2 linked regions of the Cricetulus griseus genome follow. The protein of the gene in region 2 interacts with the protein of the main gene of each other region in a biochemical or structural test. Links are inferred from orthologs where the notes say so. Each region holds a gene or a part of one and is shown on either strand. Other genes may lie near its edges.

Evidence for each region.
Region 1: the proteins of Nck1 (region 2) and Faslg form a complex in vitro, tested with the Homo sapiens proteins (2 studies listed by BioGRID and IntAct, with this or other methods). The link is inferred for Cricetulus griseus from reciprocal best matches to the Homo sapiens genes NCK1 and FASLG.

The regions. Positions count from the first base shown.
Region 1 is NC_048598.1:30,331,869-30,348,552, reverse strand, and holds Faslg (tumor necrosis factor ligand superfamily member 6), read right to left. Parts: upstream 9,342-16,684; coding exon 8,991-9,341; intron 8,229-8,990; coding exon 8,183-8,228; intron 3,671-8,182; coding exon 3,614-3,670; intron 1,687-3,613; coding exon 1,292-1,686; 3' UTR 758-1,291; downstream 1-757. UniProt on the Homo sapiens protein: Cytokine that binds to TNFRSF6/FAS, a receptor that transduces the apoptotic signal into cells. Involved in cytotoxic T-cell-mediated apoptosis, natural killer cell-mediated apoptosis and in T-cell development.
Region 2 is NC_048597.1:208,826,718-208,842,690, forward strand, and holds the end of Nck1 (cytoplasmic protein NCK1), read right to left. Parts: intron 8,266-15,973; coding exon 7,553-8,265; intron 5,213-7,552; coding exon 5,018-5,212; 3' UTR 3,583-5,017; downstream 1-3,582. UniProt on the Homo sapiens protein: Adapter protein which associates with tyrosine-phosphorylated growth factor receptors, such as KDR and PDGFRB, or their cellular substrates. Maintains low levels of EIF2S1 phosphorylation by promoting its dephosphorylation by PP1.

The sequences.
Region 1 (16,684 bases), on a different chromosome or scaffold from region 2:
AAGAACAAGAACAAAGATCAACTCCAGGCTTCTTTTTTTCTACTACAAAGCATGTATCTTTTCTACTTTGCCATGACTCTAACCCCAGAGAAGATGAGTTGCCATCAAATATGTGGAAATTTGGGTCAGCTTAATGTTGGCCATAATGGTGGTAAACAAAACTCAGGGTAATGTGAGGTCCAGAGGAGAGCAGATAGAGAGAAAAGACAAGAAACTGATGAAGATGGAAGAATTTGCCACACAGCTCTACTCACCTTTGTAAATCTTTCTCAGAATGCTCCAAAGCCATTATGAATGAAGAAACCATGGAGAAAAGAAACAATAAGCACATCTCGCTGATTTCCAAACACTATATCCTTAATACTTTTCTATATTCTGCAATACAATTTTTATTTGTCTTTTTTCACTAAGATTCACAAAATATATATATATATATATACTAGTTCTATTAAAGGAAAACAGCATAAGTAGCTGGTAATAAAAAAATTTTGAAGACTATTAGAGTTTATTGCCAAGAAACATTCAGATATCCACCACCAAATGTAACACATATGTTTCTAATATGTACTTTGTAATGCACACATTCTATTTATATGACTCTCTAGAATCTGTCTGTCTGCTCTCTCATACATACAAACACACACAGACACCATTGCACTGGAGACACACATGCCATTGCACTGGAGACACACATGCCATTGCACTGGAGATACACATGCTGTGTAAGGAATGATCTGTGCTTCAAACATCCCTCTTAGTTCTCTGTTAGCATCAAAGGTTGGCTCAGAAAACACCCGTTAAAAGTAAAGATGATGCCAATGAGACATTGGCCTCTTTCAGTCTCTAGCTTATCAGTCAAACCTGGCCCCCTTTTCCCATGCCTTGTATATTCAGATCATAACCATGTGTCTGAAAGATGGCCTCCTCTGAGGTAGCAAGTAGACCCACCCTGAAAGGTGAGTTTAAAAGTGTCCTCTTCAATGGCTAAAATGCTCTTGGCCATTTTTAGCATCAGACAGTTCCTTCTCTGTGCCTCTGCATCATCACATGGCAGCCCAAAGCTTTATGTTCCTTGGCCACAGTTCTCCTTCCATCTAGCTCACGATGGAGGCATTAAGGACCACTCTGGGAAATGAAGGAAAGTTGACCTGTTGAACCTTGTGATCATGAGGTCTTTGTGGCTCATTTTGTCTTGATTAATCTCAATTGGTCTTAAAAAGACACTCATTCAAGACAATATTCCCAGTACCCATAAAACGGAATAATGGATAATTCTAAAGTGCTTTTTCTGTTAAAGCTTATATAAGCCAAAAAATGTCTTAGATTCGTCAAAATTAATCAGAGAGAGTTGAGAGATGTTGACGTATAAATGGTCAGCACTGGTAAGATTGAATACTGCCCCCAGATAGCTGCTGTGGGCCCACATCTGGCCAGGAGTGCAGTAGTTCAACTTCTTCTCCTCCATTAACACCAGATCCCCAAGATACTTAGAGTTCCTCATGTAGACCTTGTGACTTAAGGGCTGATTGGTGCAAGAATGACCCCGGAAGTATACTTTGGAATATACAAAGTACAAGCCAGGGACATTGATCACAAGGCCACCTTTCTTATACTTCACTCCAGAGATCAGAGCAGTTCCATATGTGTCTTCCCACTCCAGAAGGACAGACCTTGAGCTGGGGTTGCCTGAAATAAACCAGAGAAGAACTTTCAGCCAGAAGGTCTCCCACATCTGATGGGCTAAGATTCCAAGGGAAAACTCTGGGCCCTTCCTTAACAAAAGCTCTATCCAGAAGGACAGCCAATCAGGGGTCAAAGCATGGTCCACCCCAGAGTTTCTTCAACACCTTTGTCAAATTGTCCACCCTAATTTAATCATCCATGTGATTGGGACAAATTTAGTGTGTGTCTCTGATTGATCTCAGGGAAGACTATTAGGATAATTTCAGTTCTCTGGAACAAACATTTTATGATCTAAACTAGTACCAACACCGCTGAGCTTGGGCATCCCTCCATAAAGAGAATGATCTCCAGAGTTCTACATCTGGACAAAATCTCATGGTTATGTGGTCCACTTCCTTGTTTAGTTTGGATTCCTTGGCCTCTTATTTTGGGCTAATCCCCTTCCATTTTGTTCACACAGCATTATGTACCTACACACAGCAAGTACTCAATAAGTGTTTGTGGACCCAGATGAATTTTTCTACAGCCTCCAAGTGATGACAGGAGGTATGGTACACCTCTTCTTGTGATATATAACTACATTTTTAATGTTTATATTTCTAATGGAGTTGCCCATGCCATATTATACTAAAACACTTATTTACTTTATAATCATAGGCTGAAAACCCACAAATGCCAGAACAATCTCTTCTTATTCAAAACAGTGCATCACTCACCCTTGGCTGCTCCTCTTGGACTTATGTCACAAGTCCCCTTGTGGATTTTGGCATGGTTGAAAAGAGTGCACTTTTTGTTTTATAAATAATCTCTCTTGGTTTATCTAATGGACAGAGGGCTTCCTTAAGAGTTGGGATAACTGTTCTTTGTTTCTGCCACAGGACTGTCAGCCTAGTAGACTCCCTTCCTTCCCTTTGCAATTCCTCATGCTGTGGTTACATCAAATATAACACATATGTCACATGTGCCCTTACATTTTCCCATGTGTACTTTAGCCCTTGAGGCCAGCTAGAATGACAGACCATAGCAGCTGAGCCTCACCCCATTGAGAGGCAAGGGAAAACTTAGGCAGATTCCATTAATAGCCCTGTGCCTGTGACTGTCACATCCCTCCCAGGAAGCACCAGCAATGCCCACTTCTGAGGTGTGACAAATACACACCACCTTTGCCAGTGTTGATGTCACACTCCCTTCAATCAAGGCAGCCATCTCCTCCTCTCAGGAAATGATGGCTGGGGCTCCTGTGCCAACCTGACATGTCCTTAACAGAGGTCACCAAGAGGTCGAGGCAAGGGGGAAATCAGAATTCTTCACACTTCAAACAGGAATTATGACCACTCTACCCTGAAGCCACCCTCTCCAGCTGGCCATTATCTACAGGAGAGACGTGCACTTAGTCAGAGTTTGTAAGCTCCAGAGCCAAAGGACAATATCCTCAGGGTCCAATTTATCTAGCCCAGACAGGTGTTTGCACATGTGTGTGTGCTCGTGCTCACGCTCTTGCAAAACCTGCATGGTTAAAAATGATCATTTCCCATCTTAAAGGAAATACAACAGGAAGTTTCTATCCTCTGTCAACAGTTTTATGCACATCCTCGTTACTGTCTATGCTTTGAAATTGGCTGCAGCTGTTGTTCTCATCTCCCTTCACATCTGTGTGACACCCGTTTTCTCTATCATCTGTCCAGAGCTTAGAGCTTTAAGGTGAGCTCCATCCTCAAGAGTGCACATTTTATGGCCAAGATCAAGCCATACACAAGTCTACAGCATTAGAATTGTCAGATTAGGCTCATGAGATCCCAGAGATATGAATGGTCTTGAGTGGTAAATACAATTGTCAATAATACTTTCTAAGAGCCTACAATGGAAATTGAGCATTTGGTCCACAGTTTTCCAGACTTTCTGTCCTCACCCAGTCCTTCCAGACACAAACCTGTTAAATGGGCCACACACCTCGGCTCTTCTTTTTCAGAGGGTTGACCGGGGTGGTCTGCATCATAGAGAGACAAAAGACATGTGAAAATTATGATGATGGGTGCCAACCACTATCTTGATTGGGACTCTAAATCCCACTATTTAAATATGTGATTTTCAGAGCATAGGGGGAAATATTCTAGTACAGACTTATCAAGAAATTCTAAACTGTGGGACTCATGAGAGTCTGTAATTCAAAAACAGTTTAAAAAGACAAGACAGGTAAATACAGATGAATACATAAATTATATTATGATAAAATAGCCATTTCATTTACTCCATTTAGAACTTGCCTTGACCCCTTTATTGTCCCAATTATAACTGGCAATAAGACATTAGTAACTGACTGACTTTAACGGTGGATGCAATGGGCACCTTGGGCTGACTGTAAATCCCTGGTCTGTACACCCTGATTCTGCTGACCTGTAGACTACTGATTCATCTCCTGGGCACCAATCTACAATCTATTTCCAAGGTGATAATATTAAGACCTCCTCATCTATCACGAGGTTGTCCACAATTTTACTCCATCATGTAGCCTTAGCCAGAGTTCCTCTACATGGTATCAGTCTTACTCCCTCTATTCCATCCCATCAAACACTTGCACACAGCATGGGTTCTATGAACTGATTATGCCCCCTTCTTCCCTGCTCCTGGGCTTTTGCTCATTCTGTCCAGAACGCCCTCCAAATGAGATCTCTGAGTTAAATTCCTGTCAATTATCTAGTGACCATCTTACACTCCTCTTCCTTTGGGAAACCCTTCCACACTTTTTGTCAAATATGGCCCTTCACCCTTCAAAGCCTAAGACCCTTCTGTCTTTGCCTCTCTTGATAGTTATGGCTCCTCCCTCCTAGGGCAACTATAAAAACTGCCTTTACTTCCTTCTTGTCCAGGAAAATAGCAGCTCTCTGGAATAATCACTTTATGATCTAAACTAGTACTAACATTGCTGGACTTTGGGATCCTGGCTACCAAGTCTTTCCCTAATGCCATTTTACTATATAGTTAAGTAACAAGAGCATTTAGCCTTGTTTAGCATAGTATCAGTAAATTAAATTGAAGTCATTAAAACTGACAATATCTTTTTGAATAAATGCTATTTCTCTGACTTCAAATACCTCAGTTAAGGTAAAAATATAGTACTGGGCTTCATGAATTCAGCTAACTAACACATTAAAAAAAACACTTATAGGAGGGTGCTTGTCCACCTTAGATTTGGGACTAGACTATAAAACACACACAGGGTGTGAAAATATACCTGTTTACTGAGAATATTATCTAAAGAATTGTGACCTCTCTAGCACCTAGAACAACCCTTCTTGAAGGAAGTGTGAGGGAAAGGATAGGCAAGACTGGACCTCTTACACACCACAAACCACCGGAGTAGATGACCTGGCATTCTGCCATGCACTAACAGGAAATGGAGCAGAGAACCACATGTTGCTTAGATTTATATTTCTCATAGAGCCTAGTACAATGCTATTCTCATAAAATATACTCTTATAAATGTCTGCTGGACAGGTCCTAGAAATATCTAGAAATATGAGGAAAGTCTTTTTCCTGCCCCAGGCTCTTTGCATGTGCAATGTGGAATGTCCTTCCTCCTCCATGACCCATACATCAACTCTTCTTTTTGAGAGGCTTCTGATAGCTTCCATGTGCATCAGCATAGACAACCCTATAAAGGATTTCCAGACCACTCTACTTTGGATCACTCTTAATACTATTTGGAATTGTATTGTTGACTTGTTTTTGTTCATCTTCTCCACTGTGTTATAAGATACATGAGAGCACTCCTCCATCTTTATCTCTCTCATTCTCAAACACCAACCAAGACTCAGCCTCAGCCACAGAAGGTTCTCTAGAAACCTTGTATATAAATAAAACATCCAATTAGTTAACCATGGAGAAGATAGAAGCATAAGAATTAATAGGCCTGATTAGATGGCTGGGGAGCTTGCTGCTAAGCCTGAGGACTGAATTTGATCTCTCAAACCCACTGGTAAAAGGAGAGAACCAATCCCCACAAGTTGTTTCCTGACCTCCACACACAAGCTGTGGCAATACATATGCACATGTGTATGTAAACACGCAATAAGATTATTAAATTGTTTGAAAAAGTATTTTAAATGGAAGAAAGAAATCTATGATAACTATAGTGTCTTCCAGAAAAAAAACAATCACTTTCTATATTCATTTGTTTTTTTCTTAGAAGTTAAAAACATGCATACATATTTCATAATGAGTATTAAACTAAAAAGAGCCTTTGATAACTTGACTATTTACCTAACAATGTAAAGTGCACAATATTTATGACATTAAAAGTCCTAGGTGGTTCTACTAGATGTTTTTGTGCCATTCATAATGGTGTATTATTCATGTGCCACAGTGTATTCAACTCATCTCCTATTCTGAAGGTTAGGTTTCTTCCAAATTGTTTTATAAGAAACTGATGAATAGGACTGGAGAGATGGCTCAGAGGTTAAGAGCACTGGCTGCTCTTCCAGAGGTCCTAAGTTCAATTCCCAGCACCCACATGGCAGTTCACAACTGTCTGTAGCTCCAATTCCAGGGGATCCGGCACCCTCACATAGACATGCATGCAAAACACCAATGGATATAAAATATAAATAAATAAATCTTTTTTAAAAAATAAAAAGCCAGGTGGTGGTGGTTCACACCTTAAAGAAGGAAAGAAGGAAGGAGGGAGGAGGGAGGGAAGGAAAGAAAGGAAAGAGAGAAAAAAGAGAGAAAGAGATGAACACTATATATGTAAATTATTTTATCTATCTCCAACTATTTTCCTAAGAGAATCTTTTAGTGTTGAGATTACAAAGCAGACTAACAGTTCAAGCCCTTGGAATGAACTTTCCTATGTTCTTCATGGTACTTACAACAATTTCCATGCATGCTGGAGGAAACTTGTGCCAGATATGACCTTTTTTTCTCACACATATTTGTAATTTGTTTTCTTATTTTTGTGAATTTGAAGGAAGAAATAAATACCCCTTTCCTTAAGTCAGCCCCTCTTAATAGCAAAGTGATAATTTTAACTTTCTTGTGACAGTTTATCAGTTTCTGGCCATCTACATTGATATAAAGAAGATAACTACTGGGGTAGGTAGACCTGACTCATTTGTCCACTTGACTTTTATTCACAAAAATGACTCCATGGAGTGGGTGACAGGGAGTGATTAACACCTATACACAAGCCTCGTTCCACTGATTTTCAAAGTGATTTTACTTTAAAAACCCTGAGAGGTTTCACTTTTCTAGCAAGTTATTTCCACTGTCCCTGTGTAATCTGGGCTTTCTGGTGCTTAGAGACTTGAACACTGAGCTGAAAACCAGAGCACACCATGGTGGCCCTTACAAGAGCTTATATTCTCAGGCAGGAGCTGACTGCTCACTTTCTGAGTATGGAGCCCACTCTCCTTAATGGATGGCCACTGTTGTCTGTTGCCTTTCAACTTTCTTCAAAGTTTGTAGGATAAAACTGCCCTGTTGCTTTTGCAAAGGCAACTGCTTTGCATCATTTCAGGGCCATTATTGAGAGGTGGGAGTTTCTCTGTGAATCAGAAACAAGGCATAAGGGGACTGTTTTCCTGTACCCAGCTTCATACCAGAAGACATGGGCATTGAACCTAATTGGTATAGTATTTTGTATCTCTCCTGGAAAATGGAAAATAGATCACTTTCTCCCTAAGTTCCTTTCCAATTCAAAAGAAATATAAAGCTTTGTGAACATGAGTCCAAGACATATAAAAACAGATCCTCATATCTCTGTTCAATCCCTAAAAACCATGCCCTGAGATTTTATGTTCAAACTGATCATCTTCCTCTTAGCCTGGATCTAGTGTGTGTGTGTGTGTGTGTGTGTGTGTGTGTGTGTGTGTGTGTGTGTATGTGTGTGGTGTTTTTATCATCAAACTCATCAAAGGCATCTTAAGTCCTCTGTGGGGAAGGTGTACAGTCCTGTGGACAATGGCTAAAGTCTTCCCAAAATACCTAACAATTTCAGAAGAAAACATTAAGGAAAACAATGGGTTTACTTAAAATTTATTTAAAATATCTTACAAGATATTTTAAAAATACATCTTCATTCTTGAGTAGTCACTTTTAGTTTAAAAGGAGGAGAGGACATCTCCAGAAACATTTGTGTCTGCCTCTACTCCCTTTCTGTCTTGAGGAGTCACAGCCACCCATGTGAGATGGGACCAAGATACCCAGGGAAGGGGCAAAAGGAAAAGTCCAGGGCTGTTTGTATGTCTCCTTCAAAAGTCAAGCCCAAGTTCATTTGAGTTATATGCAGTGTTCATTCAGATACATGGCTATTGAGCAATAAACTTCATCCAATTTTTTTTGTAGTTCACGGAACCGGACTGAATGCAGAGTCTAAGTTCCCCAGGATCTTGCAAAGGAATTGTAAGCCTAAGAAAGGGGAGACTCCCAGGCATCCTTCCAACTCTGTTCAGTGTTGAGGACCACTTTGGGGAATTCAAAAGACATACATAAAAGTACTTACATATTTGCTTTTCAAAAGATGATACTTTAAGGCTTTGGTTGGTGAGCTGATAAAAGAGAAAGATTCATACAATAAATGTGGAGCTATTTAAGCCAAGCTGTCAGAAAAATCCCATCAGTCCCTAGAAAAAGAACTCAGATACTTCAGATCCTGGCCCAACTTAGATGTGAGCCACACAATGGTATCTGGAGTAGTACTAAGAATTCCAAATCTTTTCAAACAGATTTAGTCTATACTTCCAATCAAGATCCAAAATTGATTTTTTTCCTTGAATCACTAAATATGAAGCTATAAGAAGTTTATGGCATTCTTGACAACGGAGAAAGGAATAATTATTTGCCTCAGATCTCTAAATGATGGAAAATATTCCCCTTGACCAGTGGTTGTCAACCTTCCTAATGCTGTGAACTTTTAATACAGTTCCTCATGTTGTGGTGATCCCCAGCCATAAAATTATTTCATTGTTACTTGATAGTGCAATTTTGATAGTGTTATGAACAATAATGCAAATATCTAATATCCAGGAAAACCCTGTGAAAGAGTCATTCAACTACCCGGAGGGGTCGTGACCATATGGCCCACATGTTGAGAACCACTGTCTTTGAGGGAGTGAGCATGTCTCTCCAACTGTGGAATAGAAATACTATACCAACCCTTTCCTAAAACGCAGGGGATTAAAATTATCTTTACCGTTAAAACAAACAAACAAAAAACGCAAATCATTGCAAGCAATACAGTGGCCCACATGCAGCAGAGTCATGTTGCACCCAGGGACTTGGGGCCTTATTGATCCCTATGCCAGGCTTACCTCACGGAGTTCTGCCAGTTCCTTCTGCAGATGGAAGAGCTGATACATTCCTAACCCCAGTCCAACCAAAGCCGCCACAACCATGAAAAATATCACCGGTAGCCATTGATCTATGCTGTGGTCCTTCCTCTTCTTCAGAGGTGGCATTGGCGGCAGTGGGGGTGGTGGTGATGGTGGTGGTTGTGACGGAGGTGGTATCGGTGGTGGAGGAGGTGGTGGTCTCCTTTGGTCCGGCCTTCCAGGCACAGAGGATGGACAGGGAAAAACTGACCCTGGAGGAGCCCAAGAAGAAGTGGCACTGTTGTCCACCCAATAAATTTGGGGACATCCATAATTCACAGGCTGTTGCATGACACCCTGCCCTGGGAAAGGGTTTTCTTCTCTCAATCTTGCAGAGACTCTTGAAATGTGGAGAACAGGACTCCTGACGCTGACTGTTCCAGAGAAGATAAGTGAGTGCGTTCTCTTTTATAAAGTTTCCACAGTCAAGGGAAACACCCCTCTCTCTTTGCTTCTCTGTGAGACACCCACTCACTTTGCATCTGAAGCTCAAAAGCCTCAAAAAGCTCTCAGCGACCCCAGGAAGTTTCCGCCCACAAATTTCTGACGAAAGTCTTCGAAATGCAATTGGCGTTTCTATGCTGCCTGAGGTGGCTGAGAAGTGCCTGAGGTCCGGATTCTCCTTGAGAACATGAGCTGTTCTCTAGCTGCAAGAAATGAACTGTGTGGCATTTTGGAGCTGATGCTCAGAGGAAAAACCATGGAGTTCGGCTACAGAAGCTATCTCCACATCTTAGCTTTTGCATGGGGAATTTAATCCCCTGTTGCTGTTCCTTCCCTCAACCGAGTACTACCTACCACCATAGCCTTGCAGGTCACCATCATTTCATAGTTCAGAAGGTAAAACCTGCCTCACCCATTCCCACAGATTAGATCAGAGGTTGCAAACCACGGGCCCATGTGTCTTGTAGTACCACAAAGACTGCTTTCCTATCAGCAGTGTCTTTTCTTCCATTAATTGCTCACTTTCAAACTACATACCTCTATTCTCTTTGAAAACAGTGGAATATTAGGCATCCCTGGCCATCTCTGAACGCCAGTTGGCTGCCACCAGGAATGTGCCTCAGGTGGTCCACGCTGCCCCACTGTGCCTCCTATCCCACTTCCCCTGAGAAGTGGCTTTCCAAGCCTCTGTAATCATCTATCATTGCAATCCCTGTTATGGTCACCAGATGAAACTTCAGGTGCCCAATTCAGAAGAGACTGGGATAAACAACAAATAATTTTTATGGCATATGGGCTTTAACCGTCACACAGAACATGCTAAAACTTTATTCAGCAATTACAGCAAAATCAGCTATATATCTTATGACTTTCTAAAACTGCCTGCCCTGCCTGGGTTGACTTCACTCTGGCCACACACACAGCATTATGTCTAATAAGTTCTAAGAACTCAGCCTCTGTTTCCAGCGTTTTCCCATATAAGCCATATAAATTCCAGAAATTCCTATATTCTGTCTTTCGGGGCAAGCTCTATGTCTTAAATATTCATAGTTTTTGTCTCATATTTGGGGATTTTTGAGATGATCACCTGACTTTCTCCTTTATGCCAAACCTATACCTAAAGTGTCATTATCCTGCTGCTGTCACCCTGTCTCACCCCAGCTGCAAATCCAACCTCTTTCTCTGCTGGCAATCTCATGATTCCAGTCATCCATGCCTGCCTTATTTTTTTTTCACCTCACTCACTATTCCCATGACTGTTGGCCCTGGTTGGTCTCTCCTTGCTTTCCTACCTGAGACTCCCAGTGTTCTTTGATAATCGTCATTCTGTCCTTCCATGTCTCTCTTTGCCCTTCTTCTTTTAATTCATTTTTTTTTTTTTGATAGAGGAATCAGAAGCCAGGTCTTCCTAACCCCTACTGCCCTCCAATCACAGGGAGAGGAGAGGAGTCCCTTGATGAAAGAGACAAGAGAACTTCAGGAAACTGGTTTGGAATTTGGTGGTTCAATCCAGCATTCCCCCAGGCAAGATGGAGAAAGAAGAAACACCTCTGTGAACAGTCACAAGACCCATCACATTGGTACCAAAGCCTTATTTTTTTGGGGGGGTGGTTTTTGAGACAGGGTTTCTCTGTGTAGCTTTGGAGCCTATCCTAGCACTTGTTCTGGAGACCAGGCTGGCCTCGAACTCACAGAGATCTGCTTGCCTCTGCCTCCCGAGTGCTGGGATTAAAGGTGTGCGCCACCAACACCCGGCGGGTACCAAAGCCTTATTAATGAAAAGAAATCGTCATTTGAAGTAGAACTTAGCACTGTGGCTGCTGAAGGAAAAACTAATCAAGAACCGCCAGGCTGGAACCTCAAGCTGATTGACTTCTCTCAGTCTCCTACTGTTACTATCCCAGGGAATCTGCAGGAAAGTTGACTCAGTAGACTACAGACCAGAGCTCTGGAGGTGACTCAGCAGGGGGATGCACAGTCAGAAAACCTGCTGTTACTTTTTTTAACTAGCCCAGAGAAACCCTCCAAGGCAATCTGCCAAGTAGACAGGAAGATTGCAAATGTAAGCAAAGACCATAGTACACTCCAAGTTTGAGTTTATTTGTGAGCGTGAGCCTACTAGGTCAAGTTCTCTAAGTATTTCCAGGATGCTCATTTGGCAGCTCAATCCCCTGACACCACCAGCAGTTACAAGGACCATCCTAGCCTGGGCTTTGCTCTCTGCTCTGTAGCATCCACCTTTATAATTTTTGCCAAGCATATTATGCCTATGAAGATAATCTCACCATCTACTACTTGCCTTCTCTCTGGTTCCTTATGAGTTTGAACATCAGCTGTATATTTGTTGGGCAATCCATTTTCTTGTTATGTGCATATTCTGTTTGCCAATTAAAAGTTGTTTATCTCCTCCATCTGATTTGCAGGATTTTCTTATACTTTATGGATATTTTAGATGTAAAGCCATGGCTGCTTTCAGATATTGCAAATGTCTTCTCCCAAATGCATGCAGATTGCACATTTGGGTTTTAATACACACTTTTGCTTATGAGTCAGGAGTCTATATTTTTGTCTATGTGTTTATGTGACAAAAAGAGAAATCTATTTAAAAGACAAAGTTTGATTTGGCTCATGGTTGGGAGCCATGCTGCACAGTTTCAGACCAGTATATGAGTGCTTGTCCATATGGGGTCTCCAGATGAGGCAAAAGCCCACCGGGACAGTTGCACTCAGCAAGGACTGGTGGAGTTTTGGACAGTGCAGAATTCTGCTGAGACCACGTGGCCTGAACACTCTCTTCTCATACAATGATTGATGATTCTTTTGGTGGTTTTAGTGTCATTTTGTCAATCATGCATTTGACAGATGTGAACATTCCTAGAAAACCCATTTTTTTCTTGAGTATCTTCCCCTAAAATTCTCAAGTTTGGGGATGCCAGCTGTCACTTCACATCCCAGGAGCTATCCTAATTCGGTGCTGATAGGATCAGAGGTAGGTTACCCCTATTTCAGTAAATATGCTTATATCACCCCTATTTCTGTAAATATGCTTTGAACGGGATTGTTGATCTTGAAAATGTGTGCCTATGTCAATCACCTTTTAGTTTTGTAAAGGCCGGATATACTTGGCTGGATATTTGGCGAAGCTAACAAAATGATAAGTGTTGTTTTGGTTTAAAGATGTTTTGATGTAAAAGCTGGGAGAAAACATATTTCTTTTTGCTGGAGCTGGAGGATGGGAAAAGCTTGTTTGTTAGTATGGAAAAACATGCTTTTTTATGTATAAAGATGGTTGGAGTTACATGGACAGGCCACTTGTGTAAAATTCTCCCGGCTGCCAGACATTTCATTTCTTCATGCCAACGCCCCTTTCCCATCTCAAGACCTGAGCCAGCTGCGACTGGATCAAGGCAGTTCATGACTTCAGTGTGTTCAGTAGATGGGTAGCAGGGGTGAACGTCATGGCAGGGAGCTTGTTGTATAACAAAGCTGATCATCTCATGGTGGCCAACCAGCACAGGGCTTGCTTTTTATAACAAAGCTCTTCCCCATGGTTATTCAGTTCATGAGATCAGAATTGTAATGATCAAATCACCTGGCCCCTAGAGGGCCCCTTGCATTTTAGATCAAGCCTCCAAATACATGAGCCCTGAGAAGACATTTCAGATTCAAACCAGGGGCTGGAAAGATGGCTCAGAAGTTAAGAGCACTTCCCAGCCCCTATGTTAGGCACCCCACAACTACCTGCAACTCGACAGGATCCAGTGTCCTCTTCTGGCCTCAGGTACCTGCACTTACATGTACACACCCACATATGAGGCACACATGCTTACACACAATTAAAAGTTATAGAAGTGTTAAAAATGCAAATCTTGTACAGTTTCCTCAACTCAAGCCATCTTTTTTTCTACTGAATCACAGTGGCATAGTTATCACAGTTTCCACTGATGATTGATCCATCTTAGAGTTCTCAGTTTTGTTTGGTCTATCTATCTATCCTGGTAAGAAAATAACATAGTCCTCTTAGTCATAGCATTGTAGATATGTTTTTTTTTTCTTTATAGAGACAAGCAGATTTCCAGTGTGGTATGTACCCAGGCTGGCCTCCTACTGGCAGTTCTCCTACCTCCTTTTCTTAAATTATGGAATTACAGAGGTTCACCAACATGCCCACCAACTTTGTAAAGGTCTTAAATGTATTGGCACTTGTTTAGGCAAAATTTCTTTCCTCTTTGTTCTTTTTAAGAAATTGCATGAGGGTAGGAGAGAGGGTGCTGCCACAATAAGAGCACAAGAAGAGGAGGAGAGGAGAAGAAATGGAGGAGCAGAGATATTGAGTAGAGGGAAGAATAGAGAAGAGAGAGCAGGATGAGAGATACCATATTAGAGGGAGCCACTATATGTCTGAAGAGATCTGGAACCAGGGAGATCTCCAGAGACCTACAAGGATGACATGATCTGACAATCCAGGCAATGGAAGAGAGGGTAACCTAAAAGCCCTTCCCCTAAAATGAGATTGATGACTACTCTTTATGCCATCCTAGGGCCCTCATCCAGTGGCTGATGGAAGCAGAGACAGATATCCACAGATATACACTGAGCTGAAATCTGGAATTTAGTTGAAGAGAGGGAGGAATGAAGATCGAATGGGTCTGTACCAGGTTGGAGAAACCCACAGAAACAGTTGACCTGAACAAGGGAAAGCATATCGACCCCAGATGCTTTCTGGGAGACCAGTACAAGACTGATCCAGCCCCCTGAACATGGATGTCAATAAGGAGGCCTCTGCACTCCAGGGAGCCTCTGGAAGTAGATTAGCATTTTTCCCTGGTGTAAGAAGGGACTTTGAGAGCCCATCCCACGTGAAGGGTTACACTCTGGCCCTGGACACATGGGGAAGGGCCCAGGCCCAGCACAGGAAGATTTGGTGGACTTTGCAGAGCCCCTGTTGAAGGCCCTACCCTGCCTGGGGAGTGGTGGGTGAATGGGGTGGGGGGGGTAGGTTGGGGGTGAAGGAGAGATGGAGGTGAGGGGAGGGAGAGGGAGAAGGGACTTACAATGTGAAACAAGCCTGTTCCCTAACTTGAATTAATAAAAAAAAAAAGAAATTTAACAATCATTTGTATATTTAATCTTCCACATATGTTAGCAGAAAAAAAAAAAACTGTCCTATTTGGAAAATGTCCTTCAGGCTTGTAACTGTAATTGAAATAATCTGAGCCTCCTAGTCCACAAAGTGAATTCCGGGACAACCAGGGATACACAGAGAAACCCTGTAGTATCATTACCATTGTTAAAAGTACATGAGGTGATCCTACAGAAATTAGTATATTTTCTTCATGGGTGAGTCAGAGAAACAAGATAATCCTGGTGATGAAAACAGGATTCATTCATGATAAGTGCATCATTTCTGAATGATACGCATTCTTTCTGTTACATGTTTGGTGTGTGGCCCCTCTTTATTCCCATCATTCTTGATCCAATTGGTTCAAGAAAATTTACTGGACAAAGATTACTGTTTATTGCAATCTAATAGGTAAATGTCTAGACCTTGCCTGTACCTTAAATTTGATATACTTAGTGTTCAAGAGAAAAAGATTTGATATGTCTTTTTCTAATGTGAAAGGGAAAGCTATCAAGGGTAACTTGTTTCTTATTACACTGGACCAAAGGACTGAAGGGGGCTTTCAAGAGCTTATGATGACAGTAGCAATGGGTGGAATTTACTCTTCAGCCTTTATACCACATGCAACAGTTTTGTTGTGATCTCAGAACTATTTGCTTTCCTTCTGCAGCCCATGGATATCAGTCAGGACTGGTCAGAAAAATGGAAGTTACTCTAAGTATGAAGAGCAATGAAAGACTTAATATAACAAAAGGCTGGGTTTTAAAAAAAGTTATCAAGGGCAATTAAAAACCTTTAAAGGATTGAGGTCTTGTTACAACCAAAAATTCCAGTTTCTAACAGTGCTTAGATTGGTGATGCTTAGGTGGCCACCTAAAGACCACAGGAAAATGCCCTATGGCCTCTGCTATATTCACCTGTCCTTCAGGAACTACTGTGTAGGCTGGAGCTTCTCCTTTTTGTCTTCTAACCCTCACTTGGTTGTCATTTATCAATGGACTCTAGCTAGGGGATCCTACCTGTAATGGAGAATAGGAATAATCTCGAGGCTTTAACTTCCTGATGGCAGGGTGAGGGAGGGGTGAGGGGGTTAGAGTAGAAGGATGGAGATGGTCCTGAGCATTAGCAAATTGTTTATTGTGCTTTGTGTCTACTTATTCACCATAACTGAATTCATAGGTAGATCCTGGCTGATGAGTGAAGGCAAGAGAGTTTCCGGTCAGGAACAGGACCCCTTGATAAAAAATGAGATTCTTCTGCCCTCTCAGCCAAGAATACTAATGCTCCATGAGCCTAGGGCACTGTAGGTGTTAGGAGTCAGTTAGCAGGTGGCTTTATTCTTGGAGTACAATGACACCGAATCTCCCTTTTTTTCCACTAAGGTGGGTCACATGATTCTTGAAATTGCTACTTCTGTAATTTGAATATGATCTTGTCACTGTACCATTTCAAATAGCACATCAGTGGCTTCCCATTGATCTTAGGATAAAATTTAAACTCGATTTATTTCAACGACTTTACTTCCAAGGCCGTGAAGTATCTAGGCTGTAGTCACAACACAAGTTGACAGTTGCCCTGAAATTATAGCCAAGAGAGGGTCTAATGTGAGAACAATCATAAGAATATTCAAGACTAGTTCTTAAGCAGTGTCGCCAAGTGCCTAATGGTGAAGAGTCTGGTATAGAGTAGTAAGGAAACGAGACAGGGTGTGAGGCACACCTCACAAATATCTATTAAGACTGGAAAAGTGTGGGTCTTGTGGGCACCTGTTTTTGAGACAGTGCCTCATGTACCCCCAGGCTGGCCTCAAACTCACTATGTATGTAGCTAACAATAACTCTGAACTTCCAGTCCTCTTAGATCCACAGCCTAAGTGCTGGGAATGGCAAACCTGGGCCACCACACTTGCCTATCTTGACAGGTCTTTTATGGGACTCTTTTTGATGTTTGAACTTCTTCATTACAAAACCACTTGTCAGAGTTGGTTTGTGGGAAAGCAGACTCACCAAAGGCTGACTTAAATGTCAAGGTCGTTGCTTTTGTCACCCACTGTTTCCTCTGAGTACTT
Region 2 (15,973 bases):
CTAATGATTTTGGCTACTGTTTTTCAATCACTGGTTGGCTCTAAGTGGAGCCCACGACATATAAGCCAATTTTATCAGACATTCCACCTGTTAACACCCACAACTATGTGCTACAGCTTCACCCACTTGTCTTTCAATGCACAACTCCTCTCTCCATTTAGGTTTTGCATCCCCAGAATGCAAATTTCACCAAAGCCTTGTTAATTTTTTTTTCATTGTAATGCAGGGTAAAAGCAGCCTCATGCTTGAGCAACAAAATAATCAACTTAAAGGTAGGATTGTTTTAGATGAGAAACAGAAGAAAAAGAGGGGGAGGCCCCATCTCCTGAAGGTTTCACCACCTTCTGAGAAAGTGGCTCCAGATGGGAACCAAGAATTTAACGCATGGCTTTGAGGGATATGCAGGATCAACAGTATCAACAATCCAAAACTAAACTTTTCATTTTGAAACTAAGCGATTATGCCTCAATGAAATCGGTATCTGTTCTCTGTAATATTCCCTTTATCTACAGTTTAGAAAACATAGAACCTTTGTTTTGACACCATTTCCTCTAGAGAAGCCATGCTTACTCAGGAGTTCCTGATTTCTTCTGTAAGTTTTCAAAACTATCCCAACTGTTCCTGTGTTTAGCCTATATTTAGACAACAGGTAGCCCCTTTCTGGAATCCATCTTTTTTTTTTTTTCCGAGACAGCATTTCTCTGTGTAGCTTTGGAGCCTATCTTGGCACTCGCTCTGGAGATCAGACTGGCCTCAAACTCAACAGAGATCCGCCTGCTTCTGCTGGGATTAAAGGTGTGGGCCACCAACACCCGGCCATCTTTTTGTCTCAACAATTTTCCAAAGATAGATAACTGCAGGTTCATTAAGATATATCTGAACCCAAAAGTTGGTTTAAAACAATCTTCTTTTTTTCCTATATACTAGATAACTATTTCAAAATGCTATGTTTTGTTTTCCTGTTTAAGTGGTCCATGGGGTACAACAGGAGAGAGAAAACCTTTGCAGTAATAAATAAAACTTCCAACAGTGAGACCAGCTTTCCCTGTGCTGTAAGCTTATGTAATCTGAGTGGAAACATTTACAATCACAGTTGGTTGAATACTTTCCCAGCATGCAAGAGGCAGCTGTTCCATTGTCCAGCACTACAAAAATAAATACATCAGCCAGCTTGTCCCTGCTAAGCTACTGAAGGCATCAAACCAGTTCTGAAACTGATACAACCAAAGCGTTCTGGCCAGAAAAACATTCTTAATTTGGTTTAAAAACCATTCTGTATATATAGCCAATGACAATCGAAACTTTTCTTTCCCTCAGCAAGCACAGTTCATTTCCTATTTTATTCAACAAGTCTCAGCAAACCACATGCACTTCCAGATCAAGAGGCTCCTGTAAGTAAACTAAAAAAACACACATGTAACAGCAAGAAACTGGGGTGTGAAGTGTGTGCTGCTTGTTTTGCTGTCTGCAGTGTTTAGAACACAGCAGAACACAGCAGAGCTGAGTCACAAACTTGCTGAACACCATCGAACCAGCATATCTACCTCATATCTGTCTACCTTGCAACAGAATCAGAAATTTGGTTTTTTAGTCCCCTGGATGAGATTCAGAAAATGTTGAACAAAATTCAAGAAGTGTCCAAAGTTGTGAAGACCTGAACACAGTTAAGAGAGCTATACAAAGGTTTCTTTTTCTTGTAATACAGAATTAAAATGGAAAAGCAAGAGCTGCAATGCTACATTCCTAATTAATTGATTTGGCCATGGGAACAGTTTCTAAAAAATGGCCACTTCATATTCAAATCCAAAAACTCTCCAAGCAACAGGAAAAATAGGGAGAAATAGGAAATCAATTTGGCTATATATTATGGGGCAAGAGTTGGGAGAGACTTTATTATTCTGTTTGAATGTCTTTCACCATGCACATTATGGGACCATCCACACTAGGTTCCAGCTGATGATTAACTCGGAAATTCAACTCACATTGTCAGCTTATTTTTAAAGGAAACCATAAATTACAAGGCTATCTGCAATCTCCTGTTTTAAGTGCTGTCAAGTTGAATACTACACAAGTTGAACAATACTTCTACATTTGTCTGCCCCACGAATAAGGCATCAGCAGCAGGTAAAATTCTACACTTTTTGACAAGTAAAGGGATGGGGTACACCAGGAGACAACACCTGTTCCTAATTCCCAGAATGCCCTCATAGACCGTATTTTTGCAACCTCTAGATTACATGGCAGAGCATTAGAGCTGGATACAATTTACAAGCCATGTATTTGCAGGCATATCCTAATGACCTAAGTTGCTCATTGCTAGGTCTTTTTATTCCGGCACTATGCTCAGGTTTTTTTGTTTGGTGGTGCTGGGGACAGCATCCAGGGTTCATGCATGCTCTACCACAGAACTACAGTCCCAGCTCTACATTTTTCAGTGTCTTGATAAATTACTCATGCAGGCCTTAAATTCATGATCCTCCTGCCTCAGTCTCTTGAACAGCCAGAATTATAGGCTTATACGACAGGGTAGGGTGTTTTCTATTTTACTTAGTGTTATTTGTGAAACAGTTTTAATAGTCTTAGATGTATGTGTTAACATGAATACTGATTATATTCAATACACATTATGAGAATATTTAACTCACCCCTAAGATTTATGACCAAGAAGATGTAACATTTATAGCTTTTCTTTTGTGGCTAAGCTTTCACACATAAAGTTGTTTAAGAACAAAACAAAACAAAGCATCTCTTCCAAGACTTTAGAGCAATTTCTGTAGTCATGAGCCAGGTGGTATTATAGGTACATGTATTTAAATTTGGGAAACTAAATTTCTTCTTAAACTAAAGCTCTTCATATAGAGATGAAACTTCTGTAATAGTACCTTCCCCAGGACCCACCTCCTAGTCTAAAACTAGCACACAGAGAGGTGTCAAGACACAGATGACACTAGGCTGGGGTTGTTTCTAATACAAGTTTGTCACGATCTAACTATGTAGCTATTTTCTAAGGATGTTCTAAGAAAATTGCTTCAAGTAAAACTCATGCTTAACAATATTGAAGAGATGGTTTAAGACACTTTAAAAAAATTGATCAAACGTTGAAGCACAAAGTAAAACAGTGAGAGTTAGGTTTTGTTTCACAGAAAGTACAACTACTGGAGCACCTCCATTTTCTAGGAACTCCAGGATGCATGCACTCCATCCACCTCCACACTCCTCCAGAGCCACCTTCACAAAGTATGGGCTGTGGAGTAGAGGGTTTCCAGAAACAGCTGTATCCATGATAAAGTCCTAACTGCTGCTTTTTATAAAGGCCCATTTTGCTTCATGAGGGGAGGAAGACACAAAAGAGAAAGCAAAAATAAAGTGTCAACTGTTAAGAATGCTAACTACCTACTCATTCTGCAAACCACTTTTAAACTGTTTTTCTTAGCATTCATAGTATTTTACAGTCCCAAAGTCAAGCATATATGACATTTATTTACATTAAGCTAATCTAATACCATTTACCCTAAACAAAAGAGCACTCAAAGACAAATGTAAATTAAAAAGCTTTGAAAGCAGGTGTTATAAAGATGGAAATTCATACATAAGTGCTTTAATTATATTTGTTAACTTCTAGTTAGAGGGAGACGCCAGGGCTGCCACCCAGTGGCAACATCAGCCTCCAAGTGATTTTAAGATTTATATTTAAAAATTTTAACTACTACAATGAAGAAAAAAGTGAAATTACACAACTTTAATTTTTATCAGCTATAATTTTTGTACAGTAGTGTCTAAAAACCACAAAGAACAGCAATGTTCTTGTACTTATATGGCATCAGGGGCTTTTGTTACTTTGCTTAAATTTAAATTTACAGAATGACGAGGAAAAATGTGACTAACAAAAGATTGAATACTTTAGTCTCTCATTCACATTCACAAAGTACTAGATGAAAAGTAAAAATATTAAATAATACAGTTTACCTAACTATAGCACATTTCCCCACAGCACATCATTTAATTGTTCCAGTTAAAGAAACTAAAAGATAAGGAGGGGCACTCAGCAGAGTACCCACTTATCATGTGTGAAACCTTGGGTTCAATATACAACAGTGTCAAAACACAGTTCTCCAGTAAATCTGTTCAGATATTGGAGGAGAGGGTAGGATGCTGAAAGGAGAAAACTTTAAATTACTGCCATGTAGGATTACTGATATTTAGAGAGAGAGAAATAAAAAATAACATCTCACTGTCTACTAGTTTCCCCAAACTTGGCCATGACTTACTTCACAGTGGCATAAATATGGCATTATCTAATATAACACACTTTGGTCAAGGACACTGGAAATGTCCATTTCATTTCAACAGCTGTCAGGGACTGCTTTGTTCCCTTGAACAATACTCCTTTAATTCTTAACATTTTTGTTTAAATAGCCATAAATTATGTTTTCTAACCTATATCCAGGGCCTTTTGAATACAATGAATGGATTTTAAAATGAAGGCACAAATAACATACTTTATATTTACAATGGCTTGTGACAGATACAATATCTGGAAATAATTTCTAGTTTCCTGTTTATTATTGCTATTTAGTCACAGAAAAGATTAACACTTTACAAGAAATGTACTTTAGCATATGCCATATAGATAGGATTTTATGTGAAAAGGAACTATGGGAGAACAGGAGGTCTTTACAAGAAAATAAAGAAACATCAATAAAAGAACTCTTCCATATATAAAGATTTTTGAACCAAATTATTCTTTTTCAGAATACAAAACTTGAACTGTTAGAAGGAAAGAGAAAAAAAAAAAGCAAAGAAGACAGTAAGATAGAAGACTAAGAATAAAGAACTCTTCTATATAGATGCACTGCATATGCAGATATATGTATGGGTTGAGTTATAACAAAAATACTCATGTATTACAGTCAGTTCTCAGAACCAGCACTTTCCAAACAAGTATAATTGGCCCAACACGATCAGTCTTCAATTACATGACGAGTTAAAGCTGTGTAGCAGTCACTGCTGATGAGTATCAAGACAAATGTTTGACGAGATATAGTTTTTCTCCTTGTTCACTTGTAAAGATTGGTGCCTTTTTGTAATGTTCTACAAGTTCTTCCATGGTGCTGAATTTCCGCTGCCCAATGCAGTAAACAGTCTCTTTCAGTTGGACTTTAAAATGCTTGTTTTTCCCTTGTGCTTTTAGTGATACTGAGAAATCATTTGGCTAAAAGAGAAAGGGGGAGGGGGAGGCAAACATTATGAAAGCCATGTATCAGAACTGAAAATAAAACATAACTGCTAAAATCTGAACATTAAGACACTATGCTAAATTATTTACATAATCTCCTTTATTCCTCAAAAGAAACCCTTTTTTATAAATGAGGAAAATTAGCCTCAGAGAGCATGTCTAGGATCACATATCTGGTTAGACAGAATTCAAGAGTCTCCTAACACCCACAGGGCCCACAGAAAATCCATTACAACGAGAGAAAAAAATGAAAAATTTCAGACTTTCACTCCATCCCCTTTCAATTCAGAGTTGGACAGTACCTGACTTAGATACAATGCTCTGAATTTTCAAAAGTAAAGGACAAATAAGAATTCAATTAAACTTTAATAAATGGTGACAAACACAAATTCCTCAAATGCCAGAAGAGAAATGTAAGCAAGACAGAAGAATGAGGATATGGCCAGCCTAAAGAAGACGTACTATTCTTCTGTGATTGCTGCTTTGCAGGAATAGATGCCATGTGGACTGGTCTTTGTCCTTTATTTATGTGTATGGGTGTTTTGCTTGCATGTGCACCTGTAGATCACATGTGAGCAGTGCCTATGTGGTCTGAGTTGCCATGTGGGTTCTGGGAATGAAACTGGGTCCTTTGAGAAAGCAAGCTGTACTCCTTATCACTGAGCCACCTTTCCACCATGGTCTTTAACTTTTAAAGGGAAATCTGAAACCTACAGTTTCAAAAGATGTTTTTATTATTTTTTAAATTTTGCGCATGTGGGTTATATGTACAAGGAGGCATCAGATCACACTAAGAGCTGGAGCTGCAGGTAGCTGTAAGCTACCTGACATGGTGTGGGTCCTGAACTTGGGTCCTCTGGAAGAAAAGCAAGTACTTTTAACGGCCGAGCCATCTATTCAGCCCCAAAGTCTGGATTTTTATAAGTCGTTTGCAATGGATTAGAAAGATTTTTAATTGCACAGGCCAAACAAAAACACACATTTAAGGTCTATAGCTGAAAAACAACAGTATTAAAAATAAGCATATATTTTGGCTAGTATTTATACTCTACCCACATGAAAAATAACATCCTGTATTTAAGCTTCCTTCTTTCTTAATTAGGTGGTGGTAGTTGCAGATGTTGTTTTAAACCTAATACTTCTGAACAGTCTGTGACTTTTAAATGGTGTGCCACATATCAGGATTTTAACAGAAAATGGACTCCACTTCTCTATTAATAATCATCTGTCTCTGAAAGGCTAAAGGTACCATTTTCCCTAATTTCATATCAGGAAGTTCAATCATCTCAGTCTCATACACATACTATTTTCTTTAACCTTTTATACAATACATTCACAGAAAGTCAGTATTAACCACAATTTGGTAAGTAGAAGAATAGTGATATCATTTATCAGGGAAAGAAAGTTTTTAAGAAAAACAAGAACCATCAAATTTTAACATATAAAGTAACACTTAAAAGAGACTAATGGCTATGTCATTTTTCAATTTGTATGTTTTTATTGTCTAGCTAGTACTGTAACATAATTTACTTTTCATTGCAAATACATTTCACATGATGTCAAATAGGTTGTTGAGGCCAGGCAATGGCAGTACATGCCTTTAATCTCAGCACTTGGGAGGCAGAGGCAGACGGATCTGAGTTCAGAGGCCAGCCTGGTCTACAGATCAAGCTCCAGGACAGCCACAGCTATACAGTGAAAAAAACAAAAAAAGGTTGTGGAGGTGAATAAAAAGTTCATATTGTCAGGTATGGTGTCACACACCTTCAGTCCCTGCACTGGCAAGGGCAGAGGCAGGTGGATTTCTGAGTTCAAGACTAGCCTGCTCTACACAGTGAGTTCCAGGGCAGCCAGGGCTACATAGTGAGGCACTGAGGGAGAGAGGAAGGGGAGGGAGAGAGGAAGGAATTTTAATCAAACAACTAATTTATGAAGACACATAATTATTTTTTATAGTAGAGAATTCCTGTAGGACTACAATGATTGCATTCTTATACTTTACATGTAGTAGCAATTTAACTTGCATTTTTCTACTCTCAAGGAAGAAACCAATGCTCAGTTTTCCTCATTTTTCAGTTTAATGGGACAGAAAATATTCCAGAAATGTAAAATCAATACAACTGAAGAAAGCCCATTAATACAACATATTCACTGCTCCAGCTAGCCAGCTTATTCAAAACAGGTACACTGGAAAGAGCACTATGATCATGTCCCGGCTTACCACTTAGGTTTAAGGAAGCCACTTATTCAACCTCTCCAACCTTATTTTTAAATGCTTGGAGCTCTATTTCCATTTACCTTTGAAAACCAACTTACCGAAGATTCACTATCACGAATGAGGAAGTCTCCTTCATGTCCCCTTTCATTTAATGCCATTTCTGCCTGGTGCCTGGTGACTTTGCCATAATACCAAGGATTGCCAGCAAACTTTCCAGTGAGTGAAGGCCTAATGTAATCACACTGTGGAGGCGATGGTTCCAAACCTGAGGTTAATGGATTATTCTGCATAATGGTAACATAGTTTTTTGGCACCAGGCCAACCATGCCATTGATTTTCCTGCATTTCCACCACTCTGGGTCATTTTCCGGCTTTTCAATAACATCCATTACATCACCTTTCTCAAAATTGAGTTCTTCATCATTGGATGAGCTGAACGGGTAAAGAGCCTGTACCACATGCAGTACTTGACCTGTATTTAGGTTATTGACAACTGCTGCTAATTTCTCTGACAGAGAACCTACATGGTCACCTAAAGGACTGTCACCTTCTTCAGTTACATAGTTTGAAGGAAACCATCCAATTTGTCCATTGTAGCTGCCGCGCCACCACCCATCACTGCATTTCTCCATGACGATCACCTTTGTCCCTTTTATCAATGACAGTTCATCCTCTCTCTCAGCCATGTAGTTAAATTTCACAAAAGCAGGCATGTTGAGGTCATAGAGTCGCTCTCCCGGATCAACAAAGCTATCATCAGCAGGAGATGCAGTATCTGGAACACTAGGTTTTCTTTTCACTTTTCCAATGCCTGTTTAAATAAAGAGAAAGCAGTAAGAATACAGCTTCAACTCAGCACACTTACCCCAAGCCTCTAAATGTAGAAAACAAACTAACATGATGTAATCATCTTTTGGGAAATGAAATACAAGTTCTTTTTCCAAAGCCAAACCAAATGAACTTCAGTCATGTGACAGTTTATCTCCTCTTTTCTTCTGCCAAACCCATGAAATCACTACGTAGTAAAGTTGCCATGTTGAAATTTCTCTTAAGTATTAATATAGTTTATTTCTCTCATAGCTACAATTAAGAACAAATACTCCAGTAATCCCACACTTGACATCTTAGTTTATTAACCTAGATTTTGTAAATAGCTATATAAAAATGAAAAAAAATTACTGAAATTAGTAACTGATACACAATATAAAATTGTATCTGGGTAATCTCATTTGATAATTTCTTAGTTTCCAAAACCAGATCACTCTACATTATCTGTTTAAAATATTATTTACTCATTTGTTTCCCTTCATCACAATTCACATAAAACCTCCCAAAAGGCAAGGATTGTTCACTTTGCTCATAGATAAAATCCCAAGGAGCTTGAAGGGTACTTAGTACATAGAGAATGTTTAGTGTGTTTTTACTGAAAGAACTAAGAAAATGGACCTATCACCATTAATGCACACTTCAAGTGCAATCAGGCATTTTAAGGACTGATCATTTCTCAGCACATTATCTCATGTTTTGCTTTTTACTTTGAAAAACTGGGACTTTCAATGTAAAACTGTTCAAATTTCTTTCTACATGCTTTTTGTTTTGGAGACAGGGTTTCTTTGTGTACCCCTGGACATCCTGGAACTTGCTCTATAGACCAAGCTGGCCTCAAACTCAGGTATCCATCTGCCTCTGCCTCCAGAATGCTGGGATTAAAGCTGTGTGCCACCACGGCCTGGATTCTTTCTATATTCTTAAAAACAAAAACAACCTTATTATTCTCACTCTTTGTTCAGCCAGGGTCCCAAATTCTAATCCTTCAGGGTTCTTAATAACTATCTTTTCTCTTCAGAGACTCCATACTACCCTTGTTTCTGTCTTACACAGACTTACCAATTATCTAAAAACACTCAAATCTCTTCAATACCAAAATGAAATTATTTTACTTTGCTATTCTTTTAGTATTTTTTACATTTATTTCTGCATATATTTACTTAGCCTAGCTCACAGTCAGAAACAACTTCTGAGAGCTCATTTTCTCCTACTGTGCAAGTTTCAGAGACTGTACTTGGGCTCAGAACAGCTCATGCTATTCTTTTAAAATTGTATCATTTTTTAATTATCTTTCTACTTTTCAGCTTCTTCAAATCTTGCTTGCACCACCCCCCCTTTTAAAAATATACACTTATAATCATGCTGAGCCACACTTGTACTTATAGTCTTTTTCTCTATATATCATGATATAAAAACTACTTGGTTACAACTGTAACTGGAAACCTAATTTGGGGGTGGGATGCAACAAATTATATTGGACCAGCAGCCCCAGACATCAAACAGAAAATGAATGATGGAAAAGCAGAGAAGAATTTCAAATTGAATGGCTATGCTGGGAGATAGTCATCATATATCTCAGTCTAGAGAACTGACATAAGCTTTAAGTTTGACTAGGAATTAACTAGGGCAAAGGATGAGAGGTGTACACAATGACTGATCAAATCTGAGGCTTGGATGGTCATTATCCCAGTGTTGGATCTGTGACAGGGCCTCTTTATTGCCAGAAAAAAAAACCAATCTAGTTCTCATGAGATTACTGCTGCTGAGGGGTAAAGTTCACTAAGGAGAGGATTGATTATTTGTTTGACTTCACTGTTCTTAGAAAAGGTGACTGTAGGTTTAGGATAATGGCTAAAGACTTCCAGTCACCTTTTGGGAAATCTGGAACAGGATATTGTAAACGTTAACACCAAAGAACTTTTTAGTTCTTATCTTTGTGCCTTAAGCCTTAATCAGGCACTCCTTGATTAACATGCTTATACTCAGAGTTGAAAAGAAGTACAACCCATAGGGGGGAAAAAAGGCAGATATAAAATGAAGGCAGAAATACTAGGTTTTATCTTGCAAATTTTAGTTACTTGTGGGCACAAGGAGCCAGTGCATTTCCCCAAAATATTTATTTATTTATTTATTTATTTACTTACTTACTTATTTATTTATTTGTTATGCAGTGTTCTACCCAGGCCAGCAGAGGGCACCAGGTCACATTACAGATGGTTGTGAGCCACCATGTGGTTTCTGGGAATTAAACTCAGGATCTCTGGAAGAGCAGCCAGTGTTCTTAACCTCTGAGCCATCTCTCCAGCCTGAGCCAGTGCATTTTTAGCAAAAGCAGTGGTATTTTCCTATTACTGTGATAAGGCACCATGACCAAAGTAACTTATAAAGAGTTGCAGCTTACAGTTTCAGAGGGTTAGAGTCCATGACCACCATGCGGGCAGGGGAGGCAGGCTGGGCTGTTGAACACTGAGAACTCACATCTTGAGACTCAACCATGAGGGAGGGAGAGATAACTGGGAATGGCACAGACTTCTGAAACCTCAAAGCTCTCCACCAGTGACACACCCTCTCTTCCCCAAAGAGCTCCACCAGATGGGGACCAAGTATTCAAACACATGAGCCTTTCGTGGCCATTCTCATTCAGATCACCACAAACAATTGCTAAGTATGTGTTACATACTTAACACCAAATTATTACATTCTTAGCCTTTTCATATGACAAGTAAGATCACAGGCAATGCTCTTTATATTTGCTCATGACACCCCTGGAAATCTTGTTCCTCCCCCTTGCCTATTTACATATTCTTTTATGTCTCTAGTCCCCTGTAAACCTTGTTATAACAGTGCCTTGAACTTGTTTACTTGTATTCCCTAATGAGAGTCAGCTCCCTTAGAAGGGAAAAACTAGAATTTTCCCCTTAAATCTCCAGTGCTTAGTAGTCGATATATTAGTGAACAGGACAAAGCAATTGCTAAATAAATTAGAAAGTCCTTAGTTGAAAATATTTTTCCAAGATGGCATAGTTGGCCTTCTCTACTTCAAAGAAACGACATATAGATTTTTCAGATTTACTTGAAGATTTAAACTCTTACTCTGTCTGGAACCCAAGCACTAGAGTTCTGTCGCTAGATACATACAGATTTAATCAACTTCTCAAATCCATACTCATATCCAAATATGTGATCCCTTCTTTTAAAAAAGTCTTCTATACCTATAAATGAATTGTATCCTTAATTTTCTTACTTATGGCTAATGAGATTATCATTATGAAAAATCTCTACGGTGGGGTGGCATTGATTAAAAAAATGGCAGAGTAGGAACTCTATTATTTCCTCTAAAAAACAGTCAATGAGCTGACAAATACTGCCAGCATTTGCAAAACCTGGAATTTGGCAAACCAAAGCACTAGGGCAATGCTAAGTGAAGAAAGCTGCTGCTTTACATAGAGAATTTGGAGGCATTTTAAGTTTCCTTCCTACCAGTCTATTCCCCAGGTCAGAGTGCTTTGAGAACAGCTACCTATAAACCTCATTAAAGAATTGTGACTGCTAGGCTTTAGTTTGTCAGATCCCCTGAGAAACCAGCACAATAGTTTGTCTTGGGTTCACCAGACCTAGAACGTTTCAGAGGTAGGTTGTCTTCCTAAGTAGATTTCACTTAAAATCATTGTTTGATACAATAGCTTGAGACAAGGGACAAAAAGCCTGAGAAGGAAGATGACAGGAAAGGCTATCCAGGGAAAAAATATGTTCTAGGAAATCAAGATGGTCACACCTATGATCATGGCAGGAAAAGGCTAGGGGAAAAAAAAACAAAAACTGGCTGATCTACAACTTCGAATAATACAGTAGGTAAAGTCCAAGACAGAATTGTAATGGCCAAGTATTAAAAAAGTATGCCAATATACAGTATAAAACTATAAAAATGGAGATTTCCTGCCCCCATTTTCTTCTGGCTCTGTATGTTTAAGGAAACAATGTCAAAATACTAGGTAAAAAAGCAGCCACATTATTAAGAATACAGATTTTAGAAAAAATGTCAAGCAGTTCCTCAAAGATAAAGAAATTAAGACATTCTTAACTAATCACTGATAAACTTGTGCTTTAAGAAATGTGAAAGGTAGTCCTTCTGACTGAAATGAAAAGATACCAAAAAGAAATCTGAAGTCATACAATAAAAAAGAACACCACTGATGGGTGAGGTCCTTCTGTGTAGGTTTATCTTATTGGTTGTTGAATAAAGCACTGTTCGGCCAATGAGGCAGAAAGATAGGTTGGACTAGGAGTCAAGGAGGATTCTGGGAAATGTAGTAGAGTGGAGCTGCCATGTGATCCCAGGAAGGACACATTCCACCAGCATCCTCGTTAACATAAGTCTTTATAAAATATATAGATTAAGACATCCTAGTCATTGGCCAGCAGCACTGTACCTAATATAAGTCTCTGTGTATTATTTTGGTCGCCCATGTGGCAGTGGGGCTCCGGCGGCTTGGTGGAAAGATTTATCATTACACACCACCAGCAGACTTTTTTTTTTTTAAATTTATGTACATTGGTGTTTTGCCCAAACGAGGATGTCAGGTACCCTGGAACTAGAGTTACAGACGGTTATGAGCTGCCATGTGGGTGCTGGGAACTGAACCTGGGTCCTATGGAAGAGCAAGAGCAATCAGTGCTCTTAATTGCTGAGCCATCTCTCCAGCCCCACTAAAAAAAATGTTAACATGCATCTCAGGAAGCTCAGGAGGCCTTAAGCCTAGACATAGGACTACATACAGGTAACTACATATAGGCATTCTTGGAGCAGGAGAAATAGTCTTCCCCAAGGAAGAACACACCAATTAGTTATCCAATACCAAATGATCAATTCTGGAAACATACAAACAAATAACAGACTGAGCAGGCTGCATTATGTATTTAGGAATATACACACATACAATCCACCACCACAAACAACAACAATTAAAGAAAAAATGACCATGTATTAACAACAACAGCAATTAAAGAAAAAGTGGCCATGCATTTGAAATAGATTGCGGGGGGGGGGGGGGGGCCGGCAAGGGTGCACTGGAAGCTTTGGAGGGAGGAAAGTGAAGGTAGAAATGTAATTGTAATCCCCCCAAAATTTTAAAAACAGATAATAAAGAACAATGGTAAAGGTAGCTACCACAGATAACTATAAAGCCACTAGTAGTTCATCGCTTTTGTCTGTTAGTCTTTTTTCCTTTATGATTTAAATACATAAAATTATAACTTCAATCTAAGTAAATAAATAACATATAAAGAGATAATATATAATGATATAAAGGAACAGCTATATATACCATCCAACCAAGTTGGGATTAACTTAAACTTGCTAAAAACAAAATATTAGTTGTAACATCCAGAGTAACTTTCAAGCAAAAACTAAAAAATATAAAAAAAGAAATGAAAGAGATTAAAAAAAAAAACAAACAAAAAAACAACAACAAAAACACCGTATCACACACACAAAAAGAAACCAGCCCAGGGCTACACAAAGAAACCCTGTCTCAAACAACAACAAATCCAACCAACCAAATAACCAAACAAAATCAAAGAGTAAGAGAGAAATTAAGGTGGGATGAAAAACAAGACATAAAGTAAAGAAAGAGCAAAAGAAGTCCTTCCTCATCAGTAATAGTAAACACTGAAATGAATTTCCCACCGCGCTCAAAGGACACATGAGCTATTCTTGCTAAAATACCCTTCCATCTTGTACTTCTCAAATAATTACATTATAGTTTTTTTAAAAGATAACTATAGAGCATACTTTTCAATGAAGAGTGTTCAGCATTTTACTAATCTTTTGCATATGCTATACTATCCAAAAATGCATGGAGCAGATGCTCAGAGTAAATATTACTGTGAAATAAGGAAAACATTTAAACTATTAACTAAAAGTAAAGACTAGGTTCAAAATGATTTTTTAATCCTAAAGAAAACATCCAAAACTAGTTATATATAATCAGAAAATAAAGAATAGAGAATTTCTGGACAAACCCAACAATTAATGTATCAAGTGATAAAACATTAAAAACAATCTCCATTAATCTTAGAGACCAGAAATATTTAAAGGAAAACATAAGTGCAGGTACTTGTTTTCTATACAACAGAAGCCCTGCATATCTCTGTGAGCATGTCATCAACATGGCACTTTCTCTCTGGCACACTGCTGCTGTAACATACCACAGCCAGAGCAAGTTTCTTAAAACCATTAAAACCCTGTTTTCAAGACTAAGGTTTGTACATATTCTTCTACCTAAAACACTCCCACCTCATTCTTCAAAACTTGGCACAGATAGCTATTTACTCCCTGAAGATTTCCTTCCCTCCTCCACAAAGAGTTCATGTATCCCTCCTTTGTACTATTACATATTTTTACATTTTTACTCTAGCACTAAATACTTGTGTGCCACTGTTTGCTTCCTTAAGGTCAAACATCATGTTTACTCTCCACTACCTCTGTAACCCTAGTGCCTAGCCCATAGTAAATGTTCCATTAATCTTTATTAGGAGAATGAACAAATGTGGGAAAAATGTCTCTGATTTAAAGTACTTGCCACCAAGTCTAATGACTCAACTTTGATCACACATGGTAGAAAGAACAAAACAGCCACAAGTTGTCCTCTTATATACATATCAGTAGTGCTGGGGCATGCACATGACAAGGGCTCATGCATGTGTGAAGACACACAATAAATAACTGCAATAAATTTTTTTTTAAAAAATGAGTAACTGGAAGGCTGTATTATTCTTCTGCTTTGCAACTTTGTTTCTAGTACCCAAAATATCAACATTCCAATCTTCTGCTACCAACAAAAATTGATATAAAAAAGTTCTGAAGGTCCAAGCCAAAGAAACTAACAGACTTCATCTGTCGAGGTCTTATTTCTTTTTTTTTGGGGGGGAGGGGAGACAGGGTTTGTCTGTGTAGTCTTTGCCATACTGGAACTCATTTTGTAGATCAGGCTGGCCTCAGACTTACAAAGATCCACCTGCCTCTGCCTCCCAAGTACTGGGATTAAAGGGATGCACCACCATGCCTGAGGTGAGGTCCTATTTCTCTTTTTTCTTTCCTTTTTTTTTTTTTTTTTTTTTTTTTGGATTTTTCGAGACAGGGTTTCTCTGTATTGTTTTGGAGCCTGTCCTGGAACTTGCTAGGTAGATCAGGCTGGACTCGAACTCACAGAGATCCGCCTGCCTCTGCCTCCCGAGTGCTGGAATTAAAGGCATGGGCCACCAACATCCAGCGAGGTCCTATTTCTTAAAGATGAATACACACATGGTGGAAAAGACAAATAAGCAAGCTTGCAACTGTTTTAGAATGGTGCGAATCTCATTCATGAAGGCTTTACCTTAATAAACTGGTTGCTGCCTAAAGATTCCCTGCCTCTTAATACCATTCCATTGATGACTAGGTTTCAAAATGTAAATTATAGGAGGCATAGCTAATACATGTTAACTCATGTCTATAATCTCAGCTTTTAAGGAGGATTTCAAGAACCAAGGATTTCAAAGACAGCCTTGGCAACATAGTGAGATTCTGTTTCTTTTAAAATAAACAGATAAATAAAAATAAAGAAGATGCAAACATTACAATCATAACACATCTTGACCTACTACTATTCACTTCACCACAATCGTCCTCACTTCAATTAGTCTTTTATCAA